Linked DNA regions of Schizosaccharomyces pombe. The gene in region 1 interacts genetically with each later gene. Each region holds a gene or a part of one and is shown on either strand. Other genes may lie near its edges. The genes, in order: alg10 and gls1.

What was found.
Region 2: of alg10 (region 1) and gls1, a mutation in one rescues a mutant of the other (synthetic rescue), as found in Schizosaccharomyces pombe (one study listed by BioGRID).

The regions. Positions count from the first base shown.
Region 1 is NC_003424.3:1,134,798-1,144,549, reverse strand, and holds alg10 (dolichyl-phosphate-glucose--glycolipid alpha-glucosyltransferase Alg10), read left to right. Parts: upstream 1-6,631; 5' UTR 6,632-6,818; coding exon 6,819-7,753; intron 7,754-7,795; coding exon 7,796-8,198; 3' UTR 8,199-8,354; downstream 8,355-9,752. Other genes in the region: methylenetetrahydrofolate reductase Met9, read right to left, coding at 1-1,435; rRNA methyltransferase Rrp8, read right to left, coding at 2,973-3,929; UBA domain protein Mud1, read right to left, coding at 4,308-5,102, 5,217-5,420; protein ema19, read right to left, coding at 5,433-5,984; mug64 (BAR domain-containing protein), read left to right, coding at 8,547-8,618, 8,774-8,821, 8,866-9,033, 9,148-9,355, 9,489-9,752.
Region 2 is NC_003424.3:3,226,657-3,245,312, forward strand, and holds gls1 (glucosidase I Gls1), read left to right. Parts: upstream 1-6,965; 5' UTR 6,966-7,013; coding exon 7,014-7,251; exon of another isoform or gene 7,252-7,301; coding exon 7,302-9,490; 3' UTR 9,491-9,760; coding exon of another isoform or gene 9,761-10,345; 3' UTR 10,346-10,625; downstream 10,626-18,656. Other genes in the region: tda3 (FAD-dependent amino acid oxidase), read left to right, coding at 273-324, 386-727, 800-1,536; cbc1 (nuclear cap-binding complex large subunit), read left to right, coding at 1,877-2,127, 2,177-4,268; isocitrate dehydrogenase Idp1, read left to right, coding at 4,880-6,199; SPOM_SPAC6G10.10C (uncharacterized protein), read right to left, coding at 9,761-10,345; ubi3 (ubiquitin-40S ribosomal protein S31 fusion protein), read right to left, coding at 11,254-11,706; DNA-binding transcription factor Ace2, read right to left, coding at 12,710-14,311; SPOM_SPAC6G9.01C (uncharacterized protein), read right to left, coding at 14,907-14,914, 14,999-15,097, 15,496-15,676; RNA-binding protein Nop9, read right to left, coding at 16,602-18,569.

The DNA.
Region 1 (9,752 bases):
CGGTTTCTTTGAGTTCATTCAAGAGTGAGGGGTGAACGAAAAACTCAACGTATGGTTTTTGGAAAACATAACCATTAGGTGGTCCCCATCCAAAAACAGGATGTGAACTCTTTTCGCCGTTAAGAGCAGGTTGAGAATTTATAGTAAGGAAAGCGTTTCTATTCATACTTAGAAGTTGATCCCGAATCAAGTCGGCTTCATCGGATATGGGAAGATCACTCCAAGGGAGGGAGCTAATCTTTTTTTCACAGTACCTGGCAAACAAATCGCCGATTTCCGAGTAAGATTTAGGAGACCCCCACGATGTTGTGATCTCCTTGGGAGACATACGAAGACCATATCTAATAGCATCAAATTCGCCAAAAGCAGGGCTACGAGAGTCACCCCAACGACCATGCGGTAATTCGTCCCACTGATCAGTACGCGAGACATAACTTTCATTACGAGTGCGCCAGAAAATGGGCCGTACACCTTCATTTATCCGACGATCTTGACTGGAAGCATTGGTTAACTCGACGTTATTAGTATCCACTATAGGAGCCAAGTTTTCATCTAATAAACCTAATCGTTCAATAATCATTTTAACGGCCTTTTCTAAATTCATAGTGTAAAAATGAAGTCTCGTAATGCCACTAGCTATAAGCTTACGGCACATTTCGACTATGAGCTCAACACCACGCTCACGGACTCCTTCATCATCGTCTTTAACTGGGACTAGAGTATCCATAAAATGCTGGGGAATTTTAACACCGCTCCATTTCGCTCTCCGAATAAAGGAATCCCATGCCTGAATAGGCATAATGCCCGGAAATATAGGGATATTTATTCCTGCTGCACGCACTTTATCGACCCATGCGATAAAATTGTCTACATCATAAAACATTTGAGTAACGATAAAATCAGCACCTTCATCGACTTTTAATTTCAGATGCTTTATGCTTTCATCAATGTCATCATCTGGTGAATATCCTTCTGGATAGCCAGCTACACCAATACAGAATTCATCATTATAATGTGTGCGAATATATCTAACTAAGTCTGAAGCATACCGGAATCCACTTTCGCCTTCAGTCCAGTCTGTATCTTTAACAGGATCACCTCTAAGGGCCAATATGTTACGACACCCTGTTTCATGAGCCCGTTTCAAAGCTGCGTCAATCATTTCTGTGGACATGTTCGTACAAGTCAAATGCATGCAAGTATCCACTTCAAAATCTGTTTGAATTACATTAACGATTCCAGGAGTCAGTTCTGAAGAAGTACCACCAGCACCCCAAGTCACATCGACAAACATGGGACGACCCCAAGTCTTCATGCGATCTATACGATTGTAAAGATTTTGGACACCAGTGCTCGTTTTTGGAGGAAAAAATTCATAACTGTAAGTAACTTTTTCCTTCCAATCCGGGTGAAGTAATTTGTCACTTATTTTCATTTTTACCTCTCAAATTCAACAATGAACTACTGACAAAATAGCGGGCTCTTGGCAAAGTCTTTTTTTTCGTTTTCATTCCACTTTTCATGGTTTTGCCTCGTAATAAGTCGTTAATGAGCTATTATTATAAACCTTAATATACGTTAAACTGTCAGCTACGCAGTTTGGTATCTGATTTAAGGATACGTAGAACTGCGGCGAGTTTTCCTTGTGATCTTTTATATTACAATAAACAGGTTGTTTGAGTAGCAACTGAGTATAGGTATTGTATTAACTGGGTTATAATGTTACCTATCACTAATATAGCTCATAATTGAACTCAGAAACGAGGTTCAGCAGTAGCTCTATTTACAATCTTTCTAAATAGTTATCAACGGATATCTATGATATGATGTTGAACATGTGACATATAGTGATACGCAACGTAGTTGTCATATCGTAGTGCAGTATTGCTGACATTATTTAACAAACATACTAAGGCATAATATTCATTACAAGGAAGAAGATAAAACAAACGTCGAATCGGTATACCAAACGTAATATGATTGAACAATTTAAAAATGATCATTTCCCTCCTTGCAAAATTCATAGCTGCAATTTAAATGCGTTTTAAAGTACTCACAACGTTACTTAATTCAAGTATTGTTGACAAACAAATGTTTTAGTACGCTACTCATTTCCCATTCTGGTAATAATTTTCATGTACCATTTTTTAAACCAAAGTCGTGTTCGTGCTCAATGAATATCATTTGTAGTCTCCAGCCTTCGCTTCGCGAAAGAAGAGTTCACGCAATTTTAAAAAATTGACTTTGTAAGTTTGTAAGCGCTAAAAAAAATGAAGCATTTGGTCATTGTTTCATCCTTTAAGGCAACTAAATATGTGTGCTACATGAATAAGTTGCTGGAGCTACCTATAATTAATAATTACTAATATACTGGATGGAAAATTCTTTCTATTCTTTGACCGCGATGGATTAAATTCAAATGTTTTATCGATTCACAAGATACTCGTAATGTTGTCTTCAAAAATAAACGAATTTTGCTTTTTGTTTCAATGTGAATTTTGACTTACAAGTTAGAGGTACATATCAAATATAGGATGCTAATATAGCACAAGTTAATATTCTAAAAAAAAATCTAATAATTACTCAAAGTCTAACCCATGCACTATCAAAATAAATGATGAATGATTTGATATGACAAGCCAGCCAATAGATTACTCCATCAATTAGAATGTAGCATTTGGGTCTTTGGTATAGCTATATTTTTCATTATCAACGATTAGACACAGCCTGTGACTCTTGCTTGCTTTTGCGAATATTCACAGCTCTAACGAAACAGTTATTTCTGAAATATATAACCTATTTTCTCATGCGATATTGATAAACCTATCGTTCTTCCGTTAGTCCGTCTTCCGATTGACAAAGAGTAAACGTTTAATATTATATTATCCCAAAATTTAAAACAAAACCTATTATACAAGAGCCCCAAACCTTCTTATACCGAAAGACCAGTTCTTTCCTAAACAATACCTTGTTTATCTTCTTTTGTAAATGCAAGCACTTAATATGGGAGGGAGTTCTTCACATTTCCCGTGTACAGGTACTTTTTTGAACTCAAACAGAGTAAACATTTTGTTTTGAAGCTGAATGGACTTAGTTTCAAAGCCTAATTTTGGAAGTTCTTTAGCAAAAACTTCTCCACTCTTATCAGAGAATCTGCTTTTGATTTCAGCAACCCAAAGTAAACCACCGACTTTAAGAATACGATAAGCTTCTTTCAAAAAAGATTGCCAATTGGTGCCCATAAGACTTAAACAAAATACAGCAATATCGACAGTTTCGTCAGCCATTGGAACATTCGCAATATCACAGGCTACCACATGTTCATTGGGAGCAACAAGGTCAAAGCTGTGCACTTGCAAAGAACGTGATTTTCTAAATGTAGAAGCTATTTTAGCTTCTCCGCAACCGAGGTCAGCAATTACAATATTGTTTTTCTTCTTTGCGTTTGAATGCTCAAATCTGATCTTTAAATGTTGAATGAAAATATCAACAGGATTTTCCGGCCAACCTTCAACTTGATATCGAAAACCAGCGTGATAAATATCAAACAAATCTGGATTTTCCTTGAACATTTGTACAGCTTTGTCACTTTCCGTAGTGTACAATTGTTCATTTATCCATCGAAAATTGGCACCATCTAGTTTATCTTTCATTTTTTGTTGAAGAGACGTTAACTTAGTATGCTTAGCATCCCCCTTGTTTTTCTCTTTAATAGAAGGGACTGATTTTTCTTTTTTAATCTCGCTTTTCAGGGAATTGTTTGTGGTAACCGACTTTGCCTTTTTTAAAACTTTTTCGTTGAGCTTTTCGCCTTTATCTCCTACATTCTTTCTCTCACCTTTCTTTCTTTTTTTTTCTTTTCTAGATTCTTTCGTTTGGTCTGATGCGCTTTTACTTACTGGACCTAAGTCCCAATCTACTTTAAACATGAAGTAGGGAATAAGATTAAATTTGGTTGTAAGAAAACTTCATCCTACGTACGTCAAACCAATGAAACCATAAAAGTTTCTAAGTATTAAAATAAATAACATTCATTTTTTGTGAACGTAAAATTAAAATAACAAATACTTGAAAAAACTAATCTTGAAATATAAAACTCAGTTTGATTAAGCAATTACGCATATATATAGAATTTTTACTTTCTGATACAAAACACATAAAAAATGATATAAAACACATTAATTTGAAAGAATTCGTCTACAATAGTAGAACAGGACCGATCTTGAAAATAATCATTTCCCTAATTTTTATCATGACTAAAATCATTGATTATGTATATCCAATCTCCCCGAAATCGAATTAAGTCGTTAAAGGAGAAAAGAAGCAGCTACATCTAAATCTCCATTCGCAGCGTCTAACGCCTGCGCAGCCTCTAATGGATCAAATCCCATACTGACTAGCTGTGCAATTTTGGAGTTCAAACCGGGGTCAGTGGGAGGATTTACCAAGGAAGGGGGATTGGAAGATCCCTCATTGTTGGGTGCTACGCTTTCTTTGGTACCAAGACGAGTGCCACTTTGTGGATTAGGTGAAGAAGCGCTCGCCTTACTTGCAGGTTCAATACCTAAACCGTGTGCATTTGCAGATGGCTCCACATTAGCCAGCAATTTTGGAATTTCAGATTCTCCAAGAAAAGGAATTTCTTTTCCATGAATCCGAAGAACGTTATTTTCTAAATCTATACAAGCTTGATAACGGCGTAACATATCAAGACCAAGTAGCATATCAACATCCCGACCTTCAATAACAGTAAATCGACATGGAAGATATAAATCGCCAATCTTTAAAGGTGCACTGTGAACACAACCTAATATTTTAGCCATTCCTACGCCCTTAGCGACACCTTGAAATCTAGTGTCAAGAAGCCTGGTAAGACCGCACTTTTCAGCGCAATCAGCAGACAAAATGGTAGCTTGAGCACCAGAATCCACAAATGCTTTCACCTTATGACCGTTAATCTCAACGTTTACAAAAAGCATATAAACTTGACCAAACACTTCAGGATGGTTTTCTATTGCCGATTGCATATTCTCGGTCACGGCATTTTGACGAATCTGCTCTTCAATACGTCGTTGGACTTCAACATCAAAGAGGTCATCTTCCTACAAAAATGTTAGTAAATCACCTTCGAAAGCCCTTTATTTATTGTGTCCATTAAAACTAAATTATTGGACTCAGCAGTTTATACGGGCGCTATTATGCGAAATTAAACGTACAGAAAATGAAGGCATTCCCATCGAATATGTAGAAGAAGGAATCTGCAATAATTGAGAAGCATTAATGGACTGCCATGTAGTAGCAAACGCATTGGGATCATTAAGGACAGCAGCTAGTTGAGGAAACTCTGTGCGTATTCGATTTAATAGAAAAGGAGTTGCTAAAATCGTTTGACGAATATTTTCTGGTGTTAAATTATTCATTTTTGTGTTTTCTTAATCACTCTTTGAGGTTATGGTAGAGGAAGGACCTGATTTGGCAGCATGACACGACTTGACTAATCGGCCACCCATATCAATTGCCATCCATAAAGGAATGGCCAAATAAGGAAAATAAAAACTCATTATCATCCATTTTTTTTCAGCAAATAACTCGAACATGCAGCACCATGTCGTAGTAAAAGCATGCACCCCGTATATGAGAATTGCAACCCATAAAACTGGATCCCTCGCTTTCTTTCGTAAGCGTAGAGAAACCCAAATAAAAAAAGGAACTTGAAAGAAAAGTTCTGAAGAAAACAATGCAGTTTTCCAAGGCGCAGGGATTAAAAGAATAGGGTCTTCATATGTAGATAAATAAAAGCGTCGCAAACCAGAAAGACAGCTTAAAGAGCCTCCAAGCCATTCAGTTATAGGTAAATCAACAAATAATGCTGCAGCTAGATGGCTTACGAAATAATAGTAATACAAGGTATCCATGTGAAGGCGTGTGGTTGGCAATTTGTATATCTCACTACTATAAATGCGGCGTAATGAAACCACTTTCATGAACCCAAAACATTGATATTCCTCATTCAGAGATTTTGAATTGCTATAGAAAACAATTTTACAATTTTAAACGGTGACATTGAAAGTTATTAGTATTTTTAATAACAACTGCTTCTCTGCGTATTCTATATACGTTACTTAATAATGTATTATCGTGTTTGTTTTAGAGCACTACGTCTAAATAGTTTTATAAAAACAATACGTTAGATGTTACACTTACAAGCAATAGGAAGACGATTGTTTAGTTTCATATTGGTGGTAATCAGTATATCGAGTAATTTTGTGTGCCAATATTAAGTTAAAAAGCCTCAGGCAGATTTCATTAATTAGTTAGTATTACCGCTTAATTGCCTTCATGTACATGATAATGTTAGACCACATTACTATGAAATTTATCAAGTATTAAAATTTAAATGAAATTCAATGTTATCAGTTCTTTTAAAAAAAAATGATGCAATTAGCAGCCTAAATATAAAAAACAGACTCGTCACATTTCGTACTTAAGTGTGCATAATGTTGAATGGTTTTTAGAATGCTATCTTTCTCTAGATAACTAATAATAAAATCATGAAATTCAATTAATTTGATGTAAAAACATTGTTCTCCCACTCTTGCTATATTGTAAGCATTTGAATTCCAAACTTCCTGCCAACAACCTCAGCGAAATTTAATTCACACCTTTCGAAAAGTTGATCGTTTGTTTTGGAAATTGTGTTATAGGGTCTAAAACAAGCGAACATAAAAAGCTGTTTGTAAAAGGTGCGCCCTTTATCAAAACCTGATTTTCTTTATTCGTTTATTATAAACTTTCATTAAAGACCCAAAACACAGACAATGTTTCTTGGAAAAGCTATAATTCTAATACTATGGATTTTTCTAGCTTTTACAGGTCTTCTAGCTATACAATACTATGTTCCTAATCCTTACTTGGATGAAATATTCCATATTGCACAAGCTCAACGCTTTTGTAGAAAAGATTGGGATTGGGATCCGGCGATTACTACACCTCCTGGTTTATACTTGGTTTCAGTCGCACTCAGCCCATTTATAGGCTGCAGCAATGTATCTCTGAGGTTAATAAACTGGCTTGTAGGCGTAATTGGACTGCCATGGCTTATAAACGATATCGTTTCTCTTTTGAATAATAGGAAAGGAGATGTTGTTACCTATTTCGCTTATACGTTATCGTCATTACCTCCTTTATGGTTTTTCTCATTTTTATACTACACTGATATTGGTAGTACTTTTTTCGTCCTTCTTGCTTATGACTTTGCTCTCCGAAAGTCTGCTTTTTCAAGCTCTGTGTCTTGTTTTTTTTCTCTATGGTTTCGACAGACAAATATCGTTTGGATGGTCTTTATTGCAGTTACATATTTTGCTAGCAATATGTCTTTCTTCAATCCCCACTTAGCTGAAGCAACTTTTGCTGATGTTCTTCTTACTATAATTTCATTCTTAGGGGTTTTTCTTAAAAATTTAAGAAGATTTTCGTGCCCAATTCTATCCTATGGTGCAGTATTTTGTTCCTTCCTTGCATTTTTGCTTTGGAATGGCAGTATTGTCTTAGGCGACAAATCTCATCATCAAGCAAGCATTCATTTATCTCAAATAAATTACTTTCTGTGGTTTTTCTTTTTCTTTTCTTTTCCCTCTTATATTATAAAATATCTAATGTCCCATTCTCGACGCTCCAAACTTTTGTCCGCAGTCTTTTCTAAAAAATCTTTTTTGATCGTTTCTGTGCTTTTGTTGATAGCGCATTTTAATACGTACGTGCTAAATTGGTATTGTTTAATTTAACTAACGTTTAGAATTTTCCATCCATTTATTTTAGCAGACAACAGGCATTATTTATTTTACGTTTTCAACAGACTTTTTCGAATTTGGTGGTTAAAATATTTAGGCCCATTTTCTTATTTAATTTTATACTACTTTTTTTTGGATATATCCAAATTGCAAATGACCTCGCTCACGTTCTTTTTACTGATTTCAACAACAATCCTTACATTGGTACCGGCACCTTTAGTAGAATTTCGGTATTTCCTTTTACCCTTCCTTTTCTGGCGTTTTCATCTTCCTCTTCCGTCGGGGAGGGAATGTTTAATGGAATATGCTTTGCATATGGTCATTAATTCTGTCACCTTGTATATATTTTTATTTCGAACATTTATATGGCCATCCGAGCCAAATGCTCTTCAAAGGTTTATGTGGTAAACTATCTCATACGAAACTAAATCAATTCAATACTTTATATTATGTCAACTTCAAAAATGATTAATCTGATGAACCACATTTACTTGATTTAGTCGAATTTTTAGATCTATCTCCTTCTCTTTATTTTTAACTGTTTTAATGTAGGATTTTCTCTAAGAAGAAGTATTTGCGTTTTTTATGTATGTATTCGACATTGGTAAACAAGATATATAAAGGTGTAAATGATAGTACTACGTTTTCAGTAAGTTATATTTTGTATAACTCAAAGTAATTTAAAATCATGGTGCTCGTTGATTTTTGGTAGAGTTGGATACGATAACATCTCTGTTTTACCTAGAGCCAACAACAATGGAGACTTTCAAAACTCACATCACTGGGCAGTTTAATGCTACAGTTTCTTCAATCACGCCCTTCGCTAAGGTAAGATGCATTTGTTATATTGTATTGCTGTTTAAATCTTCAGTTAGTATTTGCGTTTTTATTACCCGCAGCCGTGATTTTATTTTTAAAGTGATCGTTTTAGTTGATTTATTCATTCCGATAAACAAGAATATCTTATTAACAGTTTATGTTAGAAAACCACTCATTATTTGCGTACAAAAATTGGATCAAGAGTCGAGGAAGTACGATAAAATAAAATGCACACGAATTAACATTTTTTCAATAGTTATCTCTTCCGGAGGATTATGTGGAATTGGAACAACAAGTTGATAGCTTGAAAGAAGCATACAATCTTGTTTTACCTATTGTTGAAACCGTAGAAGTTGATGGATACGATTATCCTACAAATTTCCGCGATTCTATTACGGATTTTGGTAAAACCGTTTCGGGAAAGGTAAGAATACTTAAACTTTATCAAATCATCGTCAAGATATCATATAAAGTGCACTGGGTCACAAAGCGAATGGTTGAATGTTTTATTGAGATGCTAACTATTTGTTAAATGCAGGTTAGAAATCTCGGAAATTTGACTCCCTTAGAACAAACGCCTTTAGCTTCAGTGGGAAAAAATTTAGAAGAAAAAGAGGCAGCCGCGAAGCCCTCAAGAACTCTTTACAATGCTATTTCCCGTGCTGCTTCAGAAGCTACGACTAAGATGGGGGCTGGAAATCCTCTATCAAGTGCCTTTGGTCAAATCTCCGTTTTAGAGGAAAAAGGTAAGTCAAAATTTTTTTTGGTTTTAATTGCCTTGTTGTTATTTTTATTAGGAAAAATTTTGTTTGCAATTTGTTCAGGCATACCAAAAAAAGATGTAGACTGTTTTTTATGCTTTTCCTAACCTGTACGCAGTTGGAAATTTACAAGGGGAGCGCGATTCAGCTATTAGCAAGAACTTTTGTGAACAAGTTCGTGCAGTCCTTTATCCTCGTTTTGCGGAAGCTCATAGGGTCAAGGCTGACGTACAAGACAAGCGTCTTCAGTTGGAAATGGCCAAGTTGGATGTTGAGTCCGCAAAACCTGAAAATCTTGAGCACTGTAAATCAGCCGTTCGTTCGGCTGAGGATGAATTAAACGGTGCCATTGAACATGCTAAAATACTTTACGAACAAATCC
Region 2 (18,656 bases), 2.1 Mb from region 1:
GGAGTATTTTGTAATTTTTTTCCTTTTTTACAATCGTTTGGTATTCATGAAAGAATCGTATATCTCGCCATAGCAATTTATGAAAGGCATTCTGAATGGCAAAAACTGTTGAATATTGAACCGTTTTGTTATTATTATTATTGCTATTTATTTTATTCTCAAAATGGTAAAAAAATAAGAGAGATTGAAGGAAATACTGGTGAGGATAACGTAATGTTTAGAAGCGTTACAGCAAGATGATTGTGTTTCAAGTCAACTTTCCAACTTCAAATATGAGCGCTACAAGTAGAGAAGGAAATAAGACAAAGATAGGAATAGTAGGAGGTAATTTTGGAGAACAACAGTTTCATAAATGATGAGTGAGCATGCTGACGATGATTTTTAGGTGGCATTATTGGAATTTGTACGGCGTTTTACTTAACAGAAGAACAAGAATACAAAAAAGGAGAATTGGACATATTTATATTTGAATCAAAAGAAATAGCAGGAGGTAGCTCCGGCATTGATTCTGCAATCTTGACAAAACTGTGCCAGAATGAAATCATACAGCCACTTTCAACTCTCGCTTTGAAGCTTTATGAAGGATTGGATAAAAAATTTGATGGGAAGAAAAACTGGGAATATAGGACTGCCAATTCTTGGTTTTGTAAGATGAAATGGGACAATACCAATGTTGCCAAAGTTCCCGATACTTTGCAATGGCTTCAACGAGAGCGCATGCAAAAATGTAAGCTCATAAGTGCTACCAAAAAAAAATAATAACTTTATTGTATAAGTCATATAGAGACTAACCATTTAGGTTCTAGTATCGGTTCCGGCAACGATTTTGCAATGATCAATCCAAAATTGTTTTGTCAATTTATGGCAAAAGAAATAGAAAAACGAGGAGTAAAGTTTATATTTGGAAGTGTGAAAGAGGTTAGTAAACACCATATTACATACGTTCCAAAACAAGAAGCTGAAGATACAATAATAAAAGCACAGGTGCATAAAACGCTGGTGAGTGCTGGGCCTTGGACTGGTTATCTATTACCATTTACTGGTATTGCAGGTCTATGCATTCCCATAATTCACCTATCGGTAGGAAATTTTCCCGTTGGCGACAGCATTGTTGTGTGTTGTTTAAATACCATGGGTAATCTAAACATTTGCAAAACAACCGAAATTTTCAGTAAAAACCGGGAGCAGCTTATTTTTATGGGAACTCCAAAATTCCATTTGCTGCCAAAAGATAGTAATCGATGTTTTTTTAATCCTTTTGAAATTATCGAATTGAAAGAAATGACCGATTTGGTGCTCTCGGAGAATACGAAGAGTAACTACTTAGACGCATCTTTTAAGTTCCTTCCTACCAGTAGAATAACAGGTATCCCGATAATATCAACAACCAAGTCTGGTGTATTTGTTGCAGCGGGTCACGCCAACTGGGGGATAACTCAAGCTCCTGCCACGGGTTTATGTATGGCAGAAATGCTCCTTGGCAAGGAAAAAACAAGCATAAACACAGATCCTTTTCACTTAAATCTCGGTGAATGAGGATTTCAAATTATATCCTCTAATTTTTGTTTTAATTGTTTGTCAAAAAAAACGAAGGACTCATTCACTGAAAGGTGAAAATATAGAAGCAGAATGGATGCTTATTCCTTTACCGAAATAGAATATTACAGTGTTGTAAAATTTTCTAATCATATTTATTAAGGTTTTCGTTTTTATCGCATTGGAAAATCGATTTTCTTTTTTTTTGTTTTACAATTTCCATCTCGACTTAGTATACCATTCGTTACCTCTAAGTTGATTGTTACTTGAGAACACTTGCTCGTGTTTTTACAATTCTGCTATACGCCAACAACAGTAAGACACTAACATTCCTCACAAAATGTCTTCTTATCGGGGATCAACTCGACCCAGAAAGAGGACGAGAGAGGGAGAGAATTATGGATTTCGTCCCCATAGAGGAAACTCTCAAGAGCTACTTGCAGCGCGTATAAAAAAGGATATTACCTTTTTGGCGGATCCTCGAGGAAATTCAGTAGCTGCTGATGACATTAATTATGTTGCTATGTCTCTTAGTCGTGAAGCTAATGATCCTGAAACCATTTCAACTATCTTAGATTGCATTCAGACAACGTAAGTGATAATTTATACTGTCCCTTCAGAAAACTAATTTAATCCTTAGTGCATTTATCATTCCAGTCAAAATACCTCATTTGGCTACATTAATTATAAGAGCCTCATTAAGGGTTCCTTTAATCTTAGAAAAAGCAGCTGCGTATTTTTGTTTACAGTATTTTACGAATTTAAACTCCTTTCTTTATTACGAGGCTAAAGTCGATCTACGAATGCTCATTTGCATGTCATTTGCACTTCAACCAGGTACCCTTAAGCCACTATTTTCATTACTGGCTGACGCTATCTCAAAAGAAACCAAACCCAGTGTCTGGGGAGATAATTTCCTGCGCATAATTTTGATAAACCTTCCATATTTCATCGCAGCTAACAACGATCTCGGTAAAAAGGATTTTGCTAATGAGATACTGGATCAATGTGAGATTTACGTTCGTCATAGGAAATCTTCGATAACTCTAAGTAATCCCCTTTCAATACATGACAATCTTTCAGAGGAGGAATTGGACTTACTCTATAAACAACTAATTCTATCTCGGGAAAACGACTTTACTTTTCCTTATATATCTCAACCCTGGAAGTTTTTTGAATCTGATTTCGTTCATATTGTTCCGGTTAGCCCAAGTATTCCTGAATGGACGTTTCAGCCCACTCCTCAGCAAAATGAGCTACCTTCCTTCAAGAGATTTTTTGAGCTTTTTAATAACTTTGAAATTCGCACGACTCCTGACGCTTCCGACGTTGCAGCCAGCATATTTCGTGATATAAGTGTGGATGTTATAAACCATTTGGAATTTAACCGAGTTGAGGCTGCTCAAGTTCTTACAGATTTAGATGTTTATTTTACCTACAAAACTTTTGCTCTTCGTGGTACTCCAGTAAATGAATTACCAAATTTAGATCCATCGGAATCACGTTGGAAAGCAGAAGATATCATAGTTGAAGCTGTTTTGGGTGAGCTTCTTGGTTCACAGAATACTACGTATAAACCTGTCTATTATCATTCGCTTTTGATTGAATGCTGCCGTATCGCTCCTAAAATTTTGGCTCCAACTTTTGGAAGGGTCATTCGGCTAATGTATACCATGTCTTCTGATTTACCTTTACAAACACTTGATCGATTTATTGACTGGTTTTCACATCACCTTAGTAATTTCAACTTTCACTGGAAGTGGAATGAGTGGATTCCTGACGTTGAGCTGGACGATCTTCATCCAAAAAAAGTTTTTATGCGGGAAACTATTACTAGGGAACTTATTTTAAGCTATTACACAAGAATTTCTGACTCACTCCCTGAAGAGTTACGTTGTTTGCTTGGCGAACAACCGTCGGGTCCCAATTTCGTGTACGAAAATGAGACTCATCCGCTATATCAACAGTCAAGTCAAATTATCGAAGCATTGAGATTACATAAACCGTTAGAAGAACTTGACATTATTTTGCAGAGCGAGGAGATTCAAAACTCCGAGACATCTGCTGTCCGATTAGTTATGTCTTGTGCTTATAGCTTGGGTTCGAGATCGTTTTCGCACGCATTGAACGTGTTCGAGAAACATCTTAATACATTGAAACATTTTTCTCGAAAATCATTAGATTCCGAAATAGAGGTTGTTGATGAACTTTTTTCATTTTGGAAATTACAACCGTTCAACGCAGTTATGTGGCTAGATAAAATGCTGAACTACTCTATAATTAGTATTACCTCTATTATTGAGTGGTTGATCAAGCAAGACGTGACTATATGGTCTCGTAGTTATACGTGGTCACTTGTTAACACCACTTTTAATAAATTAGCAGCTAGATTGCGGCGTTCGGTTTCTAACAAAGAAGACTCTTCGCTAATCAATGAAGCGAATGAGGAAAAGGAAATTGTCACGAATTTACTATTGTCAGCTTTGCGCGCCCTTATTTCCGAAAATGCTGAAAATATATGGGTATCTCATTGGCTTAACCTTATGTTAAAATATGTGGAATCAAATTTCCTCTCTGTTAAAAAGGACACGATAGAAGAAGCAAACGAGCCTGTTCAAGAAAATACCAGTGAGGAACAGGAAGACACAAAAATGCAACCCGTCGACGCAGTAGATGAGCAGCCATCAGAAAATAATCAAACAGCAGCTGATGCAACTAATGAGGAAAAATAAAGAAAGTAGTCTATAACAAAAATGAAGAAAGTGTTGTTTTGATATCAAAAAGATTAAACTGAAGAACTCGACTGGTAATCACGACGTTGTCAATCTGCTACAACGTTTGAACGTGGATATAGCTTATATTAAATATTTAATTATAACGTCCCATTTTCATAAGCACTTGTAGGACGCTGCTGCACTTCACAGTTAAGTTACTAGAAACGAAGATTTCAATTTTATAGGTAACAGGGTTATCAGATCTATCAGAGGTAACGGATATCTAAAGATAAGATATTTTACGATCGACTTGTCGGTTCTAGTTTTGCGTAGTGTCATACTATGTGAGCGAATGGATAAGCGAAATGTTCACTCACATCTCCGATATCAGAAGTGACTAAATCTTTTCTCAGTTTAACGAAAGGATTGCTAAAATGTAACAAAATCACTACTGCCATCAGTAACTTACACTTAACCAACCACTTTGTGCTATTGTAAGAAGTAGTGAGGAACAGAGGCAGTTTGGTGGATAGAACTAGGATTTAAGGGACATTTGCACAGCTACTCCTTCTCAACTTAGCTTCGTCGAATATTTCATTTACTTTAAAGGATAAAAAAACTGACACAATATGTTGGAAGTACGTGCTGCCGTAAAGGCACCTTTCAAGTTGGCTGCCGCAGGCCGTGGTTTCATGAATATGCGTATGGCTTCAAGCAAATCTTTTCAAAAGATCACTGTTAAAAACCCAGTCGTTGAAATGGATGGTGATGAGATGACGAGAGTGATTTGGAAGATCATTCGTGAAAAGTTGGTTCTCCCATATATGGACATTAAATTGGATTATTATGACCTTGGAATCGAAGCTCGCGATAAGACAAACGACCAAATTACTGTGGATGCAGCCAAAGCTATCCTCAAAAATGATGTCGGTATCAAATGTGCCACCATTACTCCTGATGAGGCTCGTGTGAAAGAGTATAACCTCAAGAAGATGTGGAAGTCTCCCAATGGTACCATTCGTAACATTTTGAATGGTACAGTATTTCGGGAGCCCATTTTAATCAAAAACATTCCCAAGTATATTCCTGGATGGACGAACCCTATTTGTATCGGGCGTCATGCCTTTGGAGATCAATACAAGTCAACGGACTTGGTAGCTTCAGGCCCCGGTAAGTTGGAACTTTCATTCACCCCTAAAGGTAATCCTTCTGCTAAAGAAACATACAATGTTTACGAGTTCAACGGTAGTGGTGTAGCTATGTCTATGTACAACACTGACGACTCTATTCGTGGATTTGCTCACAGTTCTTTCCAAATGGCTTTGCAAAAGAAAATGCCACTTTATCTTTCCACTAAGAATACAATTTTGAAAAAATATGATGGTAGATTTAAGGATACATTCCAAGAAGTATATGAATCTGATTACAAGCAAAAGTTTGAGGAACTAGGTTTATGGTATCAACATCGTCTAATTGATGACATGGTAGCCCAAGCTATTAAGTCCAATGGTGGTTTTGTTTGGGCATGCAAAAATTACGATGGTGATGTTATGTCGGATGTGGTTGCCCAAGCTTATGGATCCTTAGGCCTAATGACTTCTGTCCTCATTCATCCCAACGGTCGCACTTTTGAGAGTGAGGCTGCTCATGGTACTGTACAGCGTCACTACATGCAATACTTGAAAGGTAAGAAGACTTCAACCAACAGTATTGCCTCTATCTTTGCCTGGACTCGTGGTCTTGCCCATCGTGGTCGTTTAGATGGCAACGAACGTTTAGTTAAGTTTGCCAACGCCCTCGAGCATGCTTGTGTTCGATGCGTTGAGAAGGGTATTATGACAAAGGATCTTTACCTTCTCAGCAAGTCTCCCAATGGTTATGTTGATACATTCGAGTTTTTGGATGCCGTCAAGTCCGAGCTCGATTCGGAATTGGTCAACATTGCCTAATTTTAGTGTTAGACCTGTTGATTAGTGAGTCTTTGAAGTTTAAGTTCTGGATTATTCAATCATGTTTTTACTAGGATACTTTTTGTTAAAACAATTATTTTGAAGTGTGTGCATTTATATTATTTTACAATTAACAGTGGAGTGTAGGAAGTCATTTCTATTAATCATGAAATTTTGTAAATTTTTTATGCATATTCAGACCATGACACTATTATCTAATTTTTTTCAATTTTTTCCCCTTAAACGTAAAGGAAAAAGCTGAATGATTATTCATTTATTCATTGAAATCTTTCGGATTTCTTGCCGTTTATTGACTACAAATGTATCTTGATTCTTTAAAGCTTTGCTTCAAACCCACTTAAACATATTTATCTAGCAATTGATTGAGCCATAACAATTTAGGTAAAGGTCTAATATTAAAATTCAACAACTGAGCTAATAAACTAAACAATTGATGGACGTAAACCCCAACTACATTAAATGTATATCACTATGGAAATGCTTTCTATTATGTTCGAATACAATGAAGTTGTAACAAATATCATTTTAAAAACTGCTACTACTTAATTACTTGTAATTTCTGTTAAACTGATAAATAAAGTAAGCCTTTGTTCTTAGCTCCAAATGTTTTACGCAGCCAAATCTTACGCGCTGCAGTGTGGCTGTGAGCGTTTGGAAAAAACTTAACGTAGCATTCATAATGCTAGTTAAGACACTATAATGTGTTGGATGCCAGAGGAAGCATGCTAGCCATGCAATACACACTAACCAAAACAAAACACTGGCCATCATCAGTCTTTTGCTAGCACAAACGATGGTGTCAGACATGCTTGGCGGAAATAAGAGATGGATTTTATTTGGACTCTTATCGTTTCTATTGAACTGCGTACTTGTCTCGTGTAGTGTTGAAGACATTGAGAAAGCAGCGAATGATTCGTTTTTATGGGGTCCGTATAGGCCAAATTTATATGTTGGAATTCGTCCTAAGATTCCTGATTCGTTAATGACAGGACTTATGTGGTCCAATGTTGATGACTATGCTAGATTCTCAAGTATGTCGCGTTTGCAGCTGGACATACATATAGGTATTAACATTATTTAGAAATGAGACACAGTGCCGAACATGGAGATGATATTGGTGCCTTTGGATGGAAGCATTACGATGTTCGTCGGGGAGGACAGCAAGTGATCGATGATTTTCTCATGGGTATCAAACTTGAAACTGATTTTGTCAAGTTACCCGAAGGAAATTGGGCTCTTCGTGTGCACGGTATTCCTCTTCCTGGAGCACCAACTGACCTTACTACTTCTCTGTTTTTTTACGCGTATGTTGAGGGCGAGGGTAAAGTTGGTACCAAGGTTAACCATGCCAATCACGTATATATGGAAGGAAAAACCCCCGACCTCGGAAAGTTTCGTATACAGACGTTTAATCGTCTAGGTGAGCATCCTGTATCTCCTGCGTCTGTAGATTTGGAATCCATGGTTATGGACAAAGATTTTTTCGCTGGATTCAATGTAAAAAAGGAGGGAGCATGGCGAACTTCTGAGCTTATCCTGTACTTATTGGACACTAAAATGAAAGTGATTAGTGACAAGGAAGGATATGAATCCCTGAAAGATCTTCCTCCTGCATACAGTACTTTAACTTTACCCAACCTTCCTTCAGAAGAAGGCTTGCAATTCATCCAAAAGGTATTTAAAGGCGAGTTCATGTTCGATATCGTTTTTAATTACGCTTCTTCCAAAAAAATTTCTGAAGAAATGATTTCACAAGCTATTGATAAGAATCTCCAAGAATTTGAAGAAAAGTTTCAAGCTACCTTCCCTTTGAAGGCTCCATATGATACAGAAAAGGCTCATCAAATATTTGCTCACACCGCTTTCTCAAATCTTTTTGGTAACGTTGGATTCTTTACTGGTGATTCAATCGTTAGTAAAAACCCCATTGAACTAGACGATGAAGACTACGAGTTCATGCAAGGATTTGAAAGTGCTGCTGGCAAACTTGCCGAAGGTACTGCGTTTCATGACATTGAAAGAAGTTTATTTACCATTGTTCCTAGTCGACCTCATTTCCCACGTGGTTTCTATTGGGATGAAGGATTTCATCTTTTACCCGTAGGACTTTGGGATAACGATTTTAGTCTTGAGATCCTCAAAAGCTGGTTTTCATTGGTGAACGAAGATGGGTGGGTAGGCCGTGAACAAATCCTTGGTGAAGAAGCTCGAAGCAAGGTTCCCGATGAGTTTCAAACTCAGTATCCCGATATTGCTAATCCACCCACTCTGATCTTGGCCTTAAAAGGATATATTGAAAGACTTCAGGAACAACAAGGAAAACTTAATAATCGTTTTAGTGGTGAAGGTGAAGACTATTCCTTGGATGATCTTGAATACCTTCGTTCTGTCTCCATTTCTAACCCTGAAAAGTCTGTACAGTTTCTTCGTGATCTTTTTCCTCTTCTTCTTCGTCACTATGAGTGGTTCCGTGAAACACAAAAAGGAGATTTCGAAACCTGGGAACGGGAATGCTTTTCTCAAGTTGAAGGCTATCGCTGGCGTGGACGTACTTATCAGCATTGTCTGGCAAGCGGACTGGATGACTACCCTAGAGCTCAACCCCCTAGTACTGCTGAGCTTCATGTTGATTTACTCAGCTGGATGACTTCATTTACCAGAAGTTTACATTTTGTCGCTGAGTTTTTAGGCGAAACCGAGGAAGCAGAGAAATTGGCTGGCTATGAAAATGCAATGCTTCGAAACCTCGAAGACAATCATTGGGATGAAGAAGTACAGGCTTACTGTGATTCAAGTGTTGATGAATACGATGATCCTATTAATGTGTGTCATAAAGGATATGTTACTCTACTGCCAATGATGCTTGGTTTGCTTCCTGCTGATAGTGGTAGGCTTACTAGCTTGTTGAAACTTATTAGGGACGAAAATGAGTTGTGGTCTCCTTATGGAATCCGAAGCTTAAGTATGAACGATGTTTACTTTGGAACCGGAGAAAACTACTGGCGAGGCCCTATATGGATTAATATGAATTATCTCATCCTTAGTAGTTTATATCAAAATTACATTAATACCCCTGGTCCCAATCAAAATCTTGCAAGGTCGATTTATGAAGAGCTACGTACTAACGTTGTAAATAATGTTTTTGAGAATTGGCGCCAAACCGGTATTTTCTGGGAACAATACGATCCCACCACTGGTAAGGGTCAACGAACCAAGGACTTTACTGGATGGACCAGTCTAGTTGTTAACATTATGTCTGAAAATTATTGAGAATGATAATTATTGGATTATTTTCTTTATGACTTGTTCATATTTTTAAACTTTCGAGAATAGAAAATGAAAAGTGATTATTTTGTAATGCTCATACTATTAGAAAGGTCATATATAAGCCTAAAAATTTTTTTCGTCGCACGCATTGCGAACTGCGTTTCGTATTTAAGAACAATCATCAAAAAAAACAAAAGGAAATAAACATATTAAACGGGAACTTTTAAGAAATTAAGAGAACACTAGAATTGATCGAATTAATGTACTTTCGTTTCAACTTCCTCCATCATTTGGGGAGTGTTCACGCCTTCTTTCGTAGCGGTCGTCTCTTTTTGAATGATAATTGGTGGTACTATGCCTATGGTGCCTAGATAAATGTGTACGGTAAGGTTCGTGACGACGATGAGAGCCATGTCGATGATTGCTTCGTGTTCTTTCTTTTTCCTTTCTTCTATGGCGGTTAGCCGGAGAAGTTGACCTTGATCGGGAGGTACTATGGGCAATGCTTCTGGAATCTTTTTCAGTATTTGTTGAAGAGCGGTTTGCGGCTTTTGACGACGTTAGTGCGAGAGCAGAAGGCTGCGGAAGACCCAAAGCTTCTGCAAGCATCCTTTGCTCTCTTTCTTTAATCTCTAAAATTTCTTTTTTATACTTTTCTTTATCAGAATTTTCCGAATTTATAGCAGACTGGGTGGTTCTACCTTTAGACCACCACTCCAAATCCTTACCCTCAGCCCAACGACCTGAGGCGGCATAAATAGATTGACCCAAATATCTTCCTTTCTGTTTATCATTTCTCACTTCTTCCCATTGGAATTGGGCTTGACCACCACGTGTACCGGCACCAGACGGACCCATGGTTCGAAATAACTAGTTAATTATTGTAACGATAGACGTTAAGCAAGAAGTAAACGGATTCAGACGAAAAATCGCAAAATGTTTGAATTAAAAACTGCGCTACCAGTGTCTGATTGAATTAACTTAATAATAAAAATAATTGAGTGGTAAATAACTGTTTTTGAAATATTGGGTCGTTTAAATCAAAGTTTTTAAGTTGGGGTGGAATATTGATTTTTTTTTTCTTAACAATAGCTCTAAATTTGATTTCAAAGATTAAATAAATATCAAAATTAACCAGTTTAAACAGACTTTTTTACTCCTAGGTTGTAGTCGCGTCTGCGTGCTATTAAAATGTTAATAATTCGTAGTATATCCAATGAAATAACGATGGTTTAAAATTCGCTAAATGGAAAGCAGATAGTACTAACCAAGGCTTTCAATTCAATGAAGAGCCTTTTTTGTTACTCTCGTTCAAAGATATAGAATATTTTTTTTTTTTTAATATAAAGGCTAATTTTTCGTTTTAACATAGTTGCATGCAAAAGAAATTTATTTAGATATTGGTTGGAATGATTTTTCGACGACCAAAAAGTATTCGCATGCTACTTGTATGTAAAAGTTAGGTTGTATTAATCGTAACGACTACACATGAATTTGAAGAAATCTTCTTTCATTCTCTAATTCTGAAAAAAAGTGAATTGAGCAAAATAGTACTCCACGAGTTGCTAATGTGCTCAGGTACTATTCAAAACGATCACTGAACCAAGTGATGAATCTATACTCATTTTGAACAATTTATAGTCTCATGCATCTACTTATAAAATTATTTTTAAAAGTTTTACAGCTTATTTCAATCTTAATATTCTACAATTACTGCTCATGATGATATGTCTAGACCACAGTAGAAAATACTATTTCATTCAAGTTTAGTTTTCCAACTTAAGAGTCAAATGGCATCTACCACAGTAAAGGCGGTCCTTGTGGTTGGCCATGAAGGTGGACGCACCACAGTTGGGACACTCACGACGAAGACGCTTAACGCTTCCATCATCCTCAACCTTGTAGTATTTGAGGACGGCGAGCTCAACCTTCTTGTGCTTGTGCTTGATCTTCTTGGGAGTAGTGTAAGTCTTCTTTTTACGCTTCTTACCACCACCACGAAGACGCAAAACGAGGTGAAGAGTGGACTCCTTTTGGATGTTATAATCAGACAAAGTACGTCCGTCCTCGAGTTGCTTGCCAGCAAAGATCAAACGTTGTTGATCAGGAGGAATTCCTTCCTTATCTTGGATTTTGCTCTTGACATTGTCAATAGTGTCAGAGGATTCAACCTCAAGGGTAATGGTCTTACCCGTAAGGGTTTTTACAAAGATCTGCATCGTCAGCAAAGTATTGCCTCTTCCTCGCGGATGGAGGAAAATATTGATGTTGCATTGTGATATATGGATGCGTGACTGGTTTTAACTCACGTAGGTTAGGGTGTAACGCAAGTTTCTCGTACTGAGAATTAACGTTTGCGTTAATTATATAACACAATTTAACATTTCTCACAATTTTTAAAATCGTAATGCTGAAATGAAAATCCTGATTCCCTTGTATTAATATCGACAGTTTGTCACTAATTGATGTCAATTATATCCTATTGAATGATTCATATATGGTGATTTAGTGTAGTAAAGGCTTGTAAACCTGTGATTTTGTGTTTGCATAAGCTACGACGAGTTTTCGTATTTTTTGGTTCTTTGCAAATAGAAATGAATTATCTTTTCTCTTGCCGACAAAATTTCCTCCAATGACCAGCAATAATAGTTAAAACAATCATTGGTTTCTCTGTTTAAGTCATAGTGATTAATTTGTTGAATTATTATTATCATAATAAATGCTTGCTTGGCAGCATACTACAACCACTGTTTTCCAATGAAATACTTCGCATACTATAGTAATTAAATACAAGTTTTCCCTAGAAATACCAACTTAAACATATGTTGACTAAACATCGGTGCGAGTGAAAGCAAACACTAATTCTTACTCATGTATCCAAGTTGTTTGTCAGGTTTGGGGAAACTAGTTTTACCATTTCAGCCGTTCAACGATACGAACAACTTCATAGTTGTATTTCCATTTCACAAAGATTAATCTGTAGATTTTAGATGATGCAGAGTTATACACAATACTAGGGTGATGAATAAATATACAAAAGACAGATACAAGTTGATAAATTATCAAAATTGTCACAGCATTAGTTCATGTACGATGCTTGAATTTGAATTTATATAAAAGCAAATTAAAAACAATAATATTAGTAAAATTAAAAAATCCCAAAAAAAAACCAAACATAACTCATTATAATGCAATGCGATGCAAGTTGTACAGCTGTCATCATTAGTGCTGTCTGCGATCTACGCCGCCAACACATATATTTCTCTGCTTATGCCGATTTAAGGCATCAAGTCGGTTAAATCTCTTTAAGCATTCACATACATATGGCCTGCCATTTTCGTGAATCCTCAGATGACGCTTAAGATCGTGGTGACGAACAAAGCCAGCTTTGCATAAGTCACAGCGATACGGACGGTCGCTCAGATGTGTTTGAATATGCGATTCAACATTATATTTGCGAGCAATACGTTTATTGCACCCGTTGTACAAACAGACGTACTTTCCATCTGCTTCAGGGCCGCAATATAAGCTAGCCATTGTCTCCGGAGGAATTCTACAAATCCTAGTTGATTGCTTGCGAGTTTTGCATCTATGATCGTATGAAATTCTGACCGGAGGTTTGGAATCATGCTCGGTGACTTGAGGAGTAATTGATAAATCAGCAGATTCAATTTTTGGAGCTAATTGTTCTTCTTCCTTGACAGTGATACAAGGTTCAGGTTTCTTGGTAACTATGCAAGATTCATAAGGTGCACTTAATGCAAACTGCTGTGTCAAAGTGTTGTTGATATTTGCGTTCGATATGTCAAGTCCATGATCGCAAACGGATGAGAATTTTTCAAATTCAGAAACGTATTCAGCAGGTGATGATAACTTTGCAAACGCTTTCTGGTTGTCAGTATGCCTGCATACATCCAAATGGGAAAACGAAGAATCTAGAGCAAAGGAGGGCTTTTGAGGCGAAGTGGGCTCTAGCTTTACAAGTTGGGCAAATGGGGATACAGGGGAGATATTAGGTGCAGTCTCTGGACTCGATAAGTCTACAGGATGTGCCGGACTTGGTTGGGATATTTGAAAGTTCAATTCTTCAAATGAAGGCGCACCGTTTATCTCATCTAATCCAGGGGGAGAGGATGGGAGGAACATAAACTCATTAAATGATTCCAATTGCGAAGAGCTGGGAAGAACGGAAGAGGCAGGACCCGAGGTTTCAGGTATACTTGAGGAAAGGTAGTCGAAATTTTCGAGGTGATCTTTGTTGGAGCAAGTTTCCGTCTTTATTTCTGGTATGTCAAACTCAGGAAACGAAAGGACTTGTTGTTGAGAGTCCAGCTCATCAATCCAATTTGATGCATCATAACCAATTTCGGAAAAGGCCTGTTGAGAGTTGGTCAAGGAAAATGCGTCATTGTTATTAAAATTTTGCTCGGTATGGATTTGTGATACGCAAGTTAAAGGCGAGGAAGGGGGTGATAAGGAAGCATCAAAGGAGGATGCATACGAGTGAGAGTCGGGGAGCGATATTTGGTTCGATAAAAAGTATGCAGAATTCGCTTCCAACAAAGGGTTAAACGGTGTTTTTAGAACAGAACTATAGTCAAACTGATCTTGAAAGTTCTGAAGATGAGAAGGCGGTGAAGGGATAACAGCTTGATTTAAAGACACCTCATTTTCAAAGGGAGCGAAGGAGGAAAAAGAAGTATGCTTGCTATCGCCAAAAGTTTCATAATCCCTTTGGTACGAATGATTACAAGCTGGACTCTCTTCTTGTCGAAATGATTCAAACGACTTTTGCGAAGAAGATGATAAATATGAAAGCGACATTGTCTTGTTTACTTAGGATAGCGAGTATCTAGTGCAATGCGTAGAGAAATCAAGGAGAGAACGATGAGAGAAATGACTCTTGAAAAGAGTGCTTGATAACTTGAAGTGAGATGAAAGTGTGGCTCAAAGCCAGTCTAACCCAGTAGATGATTGAACTAATCACTCTTCGATTTTTTTTTGTTTGTTACAGCAATGTTTGGTGCGCTGGCTATTTGTTTATATCAAATAGCTACTCCGTTGCTATGACGACAATTGTTGAATTTTATGCTTCACTTTACCGCAAAACAAGTCACTATTTGTTTACATTGCATGGATTACCGAACCATATCACAACAACGCAATACAAGTGTAAACACAGACCCAGGGATTGTTTATTTACCTTTTGTTGCCAAAGGGACAAATCAACTATTTTTTGAATTAAACCAGTAAAAGGTTTGATTGAAAGACACTACCACTAATAAACAGGATAATCACGGCTATGAAAATGTCTACGCTTCAACAACTGGATCATGGATGATATTAGAAAACATAGATTAAGTATGACAAGCCAAAAAAAAACGGTAACCAACCTGAAAAAACGACAACGACGTTGAGATCAAAAACCTTAAGGTATTAGTATTAGTATAGAGCTAGCAAGAGAAAAAATGCCATGGAAAAGTTTTTAAATGCAATGAATAAGTTACTTACAACACTGACAATCAAAAGGGCAATCCGGTGTACCTCCACCTTGGCCAATGTTTAATTCCTCCTCGTCATATACAAGAAACCCTTCCTCGGTACGCTTTCCTAAAACACAAAACGTTAATACAATTACTGATGATAAGGAGAAAAGTGCCGTTGCTAGGTAAGTATTGCATCGTTCGGCAAACATTCCCGTAAACAGAATAGCGAATAAGGTTCAATACCACACAATAGAGCTTAATGATTTGGAGTCTCCACCAACACTAAACATCATTGTGAAATGTATCTCCCTAGAAAAACGTAATCTAGCTCTAGCAGTATATAATAAATAAATAAGTATATAGCACAGTTCGAAGTTTCTCAATCTTTTAGACAATAAATATGAATTTGAGGTCAAAGAATTGACAAACAACGCGGATGCCAAACATGAACGAATGCAATCATTAACCAAGTAGCGAGAACGTATGTAAGGATGAACTATCAAACGGCAAAAAGTGTCTTACTTCCTGAGGCTCCCTTTGGATCTAAAAATAAATCGTCTTGGTTATTAGTAGGTTTTGGACGACTTGGAGTAGATTTTGTCTTGGCTCCTTTCTTAGGGGCTTTCGCCTCCGACTTTGAGTCATTTGACTTTTCATTTGCAGGGTTTGCCTTTTTAGAAGCAAAAATGTCGTCGATTTCCATCTTTTAAATACTCGTAGAGAGGAGTTTGCCAAGTCAATGGCAATTGTATAATTGAGTAGAGAGACAGTTTGTTGTAGCTTGCAAACTTGCTAGAAATTCTTTTGCGGTACCGTGCTTCATAAAATAAGAATTCTCTAAAATGCTTAAATCTGCATAACGTATTCTCTCGTATTACGGTAAAGAATTTGTAATATTTATAAGAATGATTCTTCAGAAGAAACTTGTACCAGCATTAAGGCATGAGATTGATCGATTCCTTTTTTTTCCTTTGGTTCTTTATTATGTTTAAAATTGTTTAATTTTGTTTAGAAGCTGTATCACCTCTGTCATCGGTATTTCGAAACGGCAATAAAATGTAGACAATTCTTTGGCCAAGCTTTCTTTATAAAAGCATATTTAGGTCAACTCTATCCTAATACCATAAATTAACACTTTTTGTCTTCATTTAAGAAGCGAATTATTGCTGTATCAAATTAACAAATGCAAAATCTCATTGCTTAATAAACGAAATACTTTAGTAATTAAGCATAAGATAAAAATAAAGTGAATACTATTTGACAATGAAAATCAGCTCAAAACCTCTGTCAATTCTTTTTCAGCCTAGAAACCACCTTAGAGAAATAAGGCAAAACATTTGAATACAAATATACAAAACACAAATTATTAGTGGTAGAACAATTCAAAAAATTCGAAACCTCTTCTTCAGTTGATCAATTCATAATTAGAAATACAATTCCTTTTACAAAGTTTACTTCCTTACTCTGCAAAAGCGCCTCTATACATAGCAAACCGCAACAAAATTAAATACCTATATTACCTAAATTAAAAACATAACTTTTTTTTGACCAACAAAATGCCATGCTTAAATTGGCGAGACGTAAAAATGCCGTGCATTTCAATTTAACCAATGGAAACCTTTTCTCCTTCAGACTTTCACTCTTTTAGGACCGGACTCAAGCTCTTCATCATTTTCAGTGCTGCGCTTCTCCCCCAAAGGCTGAGTATTGGCTGAACTGCCAGAAACAATACGACCATACTGGCGTGCACGTTCATGAACACGCTTAGATGGTTCATCCTGTTTCATGAAACGATACCATTCATCAGGAGCTCGACGAAAAAGCTCGACCTTCCAGTTTGAGCAAACTTTTTTGCCATAGAAATCAAATTTGACGTCGTCACCACCTTCAGCCAACTCACGAACAATTCTTGTACGATAAAGCGGCAATGCCCTTGTGGCCTTCCACGCTTTATCTACAATATGCGAACCAGGAGCAGAAACAGCTAATGTAGCAAATGATCCGGAAAGGATATTGAGAAATTTTTTAAGAAATACCGGGTTTAAGTCTGATAAATCAAGAATTCCTTCTATCAAGTGAGAGGATACTGTTTCCAGACAATATTCCAAAATCTGCTCTTTTGAGAGATCTAAAACGCTATCTAATAATAACTGAATATGTTGTTTCTCACAGTGAAGCATTTCTTCTAACAGTTGAGCACCCAGTAAATTATTAACAAGTTTACGCTCTTTGTTTTCTGGGTTGGCTTTATCACGTTTATGCTTCGATCGGAGCAAGCATGGAATAATGTTGGCATCCTTTCCACTATTTGTTACGCTTGTCTGAATCATTGAAAATATGTCATCTTGATAACAATGTAAATGGTTACTCTTCTCAAGTAATGTCCTTAACACTGGAAGAAATGACTTCCTAATGATGTTGTCTGTATTCTTCTTTAATTCATCAATGACAGAACCAATCTCCTTCCTTCCCAACCTTCTTATGTAACGTTGCATTATAAAATTGGCTATAGGATGAACACAAAGCCGATAAAAACGTCCTTCAAAGACGGCATAAAATCTGAGTAGATGAGAGGCTGACATGTTTTCAACGATGACCTCCAGAATACGCGAGCCAGTTTCGTCCTTCAACAAAGTTTCCATAAACGGTAATTCTTTTAAATCGTACTCGTTAGATAGTAACAATTTGGAAACTAAGCGTGGATCGTGCTTCTTTTTTGTTTTTTTTGAGCGCTCAAAGTCTATACGTATAAACGCTCTCATAATTTGACTCGCATATTTATCAACACAATAAGCTCGAAGTTCTGGGGTATCGAGGTTGTCCGTAGCACTATCAATTATGGAATAAGCAAACTGGGGAAAGGATTCGGGAACAGAAATAGACTCCATAGTGGTTCTGTTTCCATCATGATACACGAATCGATATCCATCAAGCAAAAGGAAAATTTTGCCCAATACATGAACAGCCAACTTATGGCTCATTAGCATAGAAACCTCTGGGCGTATTTCATTGTACATGTACATAAGTAAAGTTTCTGCTGTCATGAAGACATTTTCATTTTCACCTTCCAAAACATCATCTTGATCCTCTGTAACACCTTGGGTTTCCAAATTTAGAATGGCAGCCATGTGACTCAACAGCTTTTCGAAAGCATAAGAGCCAAACGTTGTCTGAATTAGCTCCACATAATGACCATTCAATGCAGAAAAAAACGATTTGATTTGTCTACTCGTTGATAAAGGGAAAAGCTTTTCAAGAACCTTCGATCCGAACACATTGTTGCAGACAATTAGCTCTTTGCCTTGCACCTCACGATAAATGCTGTCGACAAAAAACCTGGTATCTTCGTTTTCTCTTGTAAAATGATTGGCAAAAGCCTGTTCAGCTTGTTGGAAGTATTTTTCTTCTTCGGGGTCCAAAGCACCAAAAAACGGTTGCACTGGTTCATTCGTGTAACGGTTTACCTGATATGCACCTTCATCATTTCCAGCGCCTTCATCGTTTTTTGCAATACCGGGAGAAACAACTGAATTAACTTCTTCCTCCTTTTGTTTGGCAGAGTGCTTTTTACCACGCGTTTTTCTTTTTTTTGGCATTTTGCTCTAGGATTGAATTAGCATTATAGGATTCGAAAATTTGTTGGAAATAATTTCTGTTATGCCTCTTTAATTTTAATAACGCAT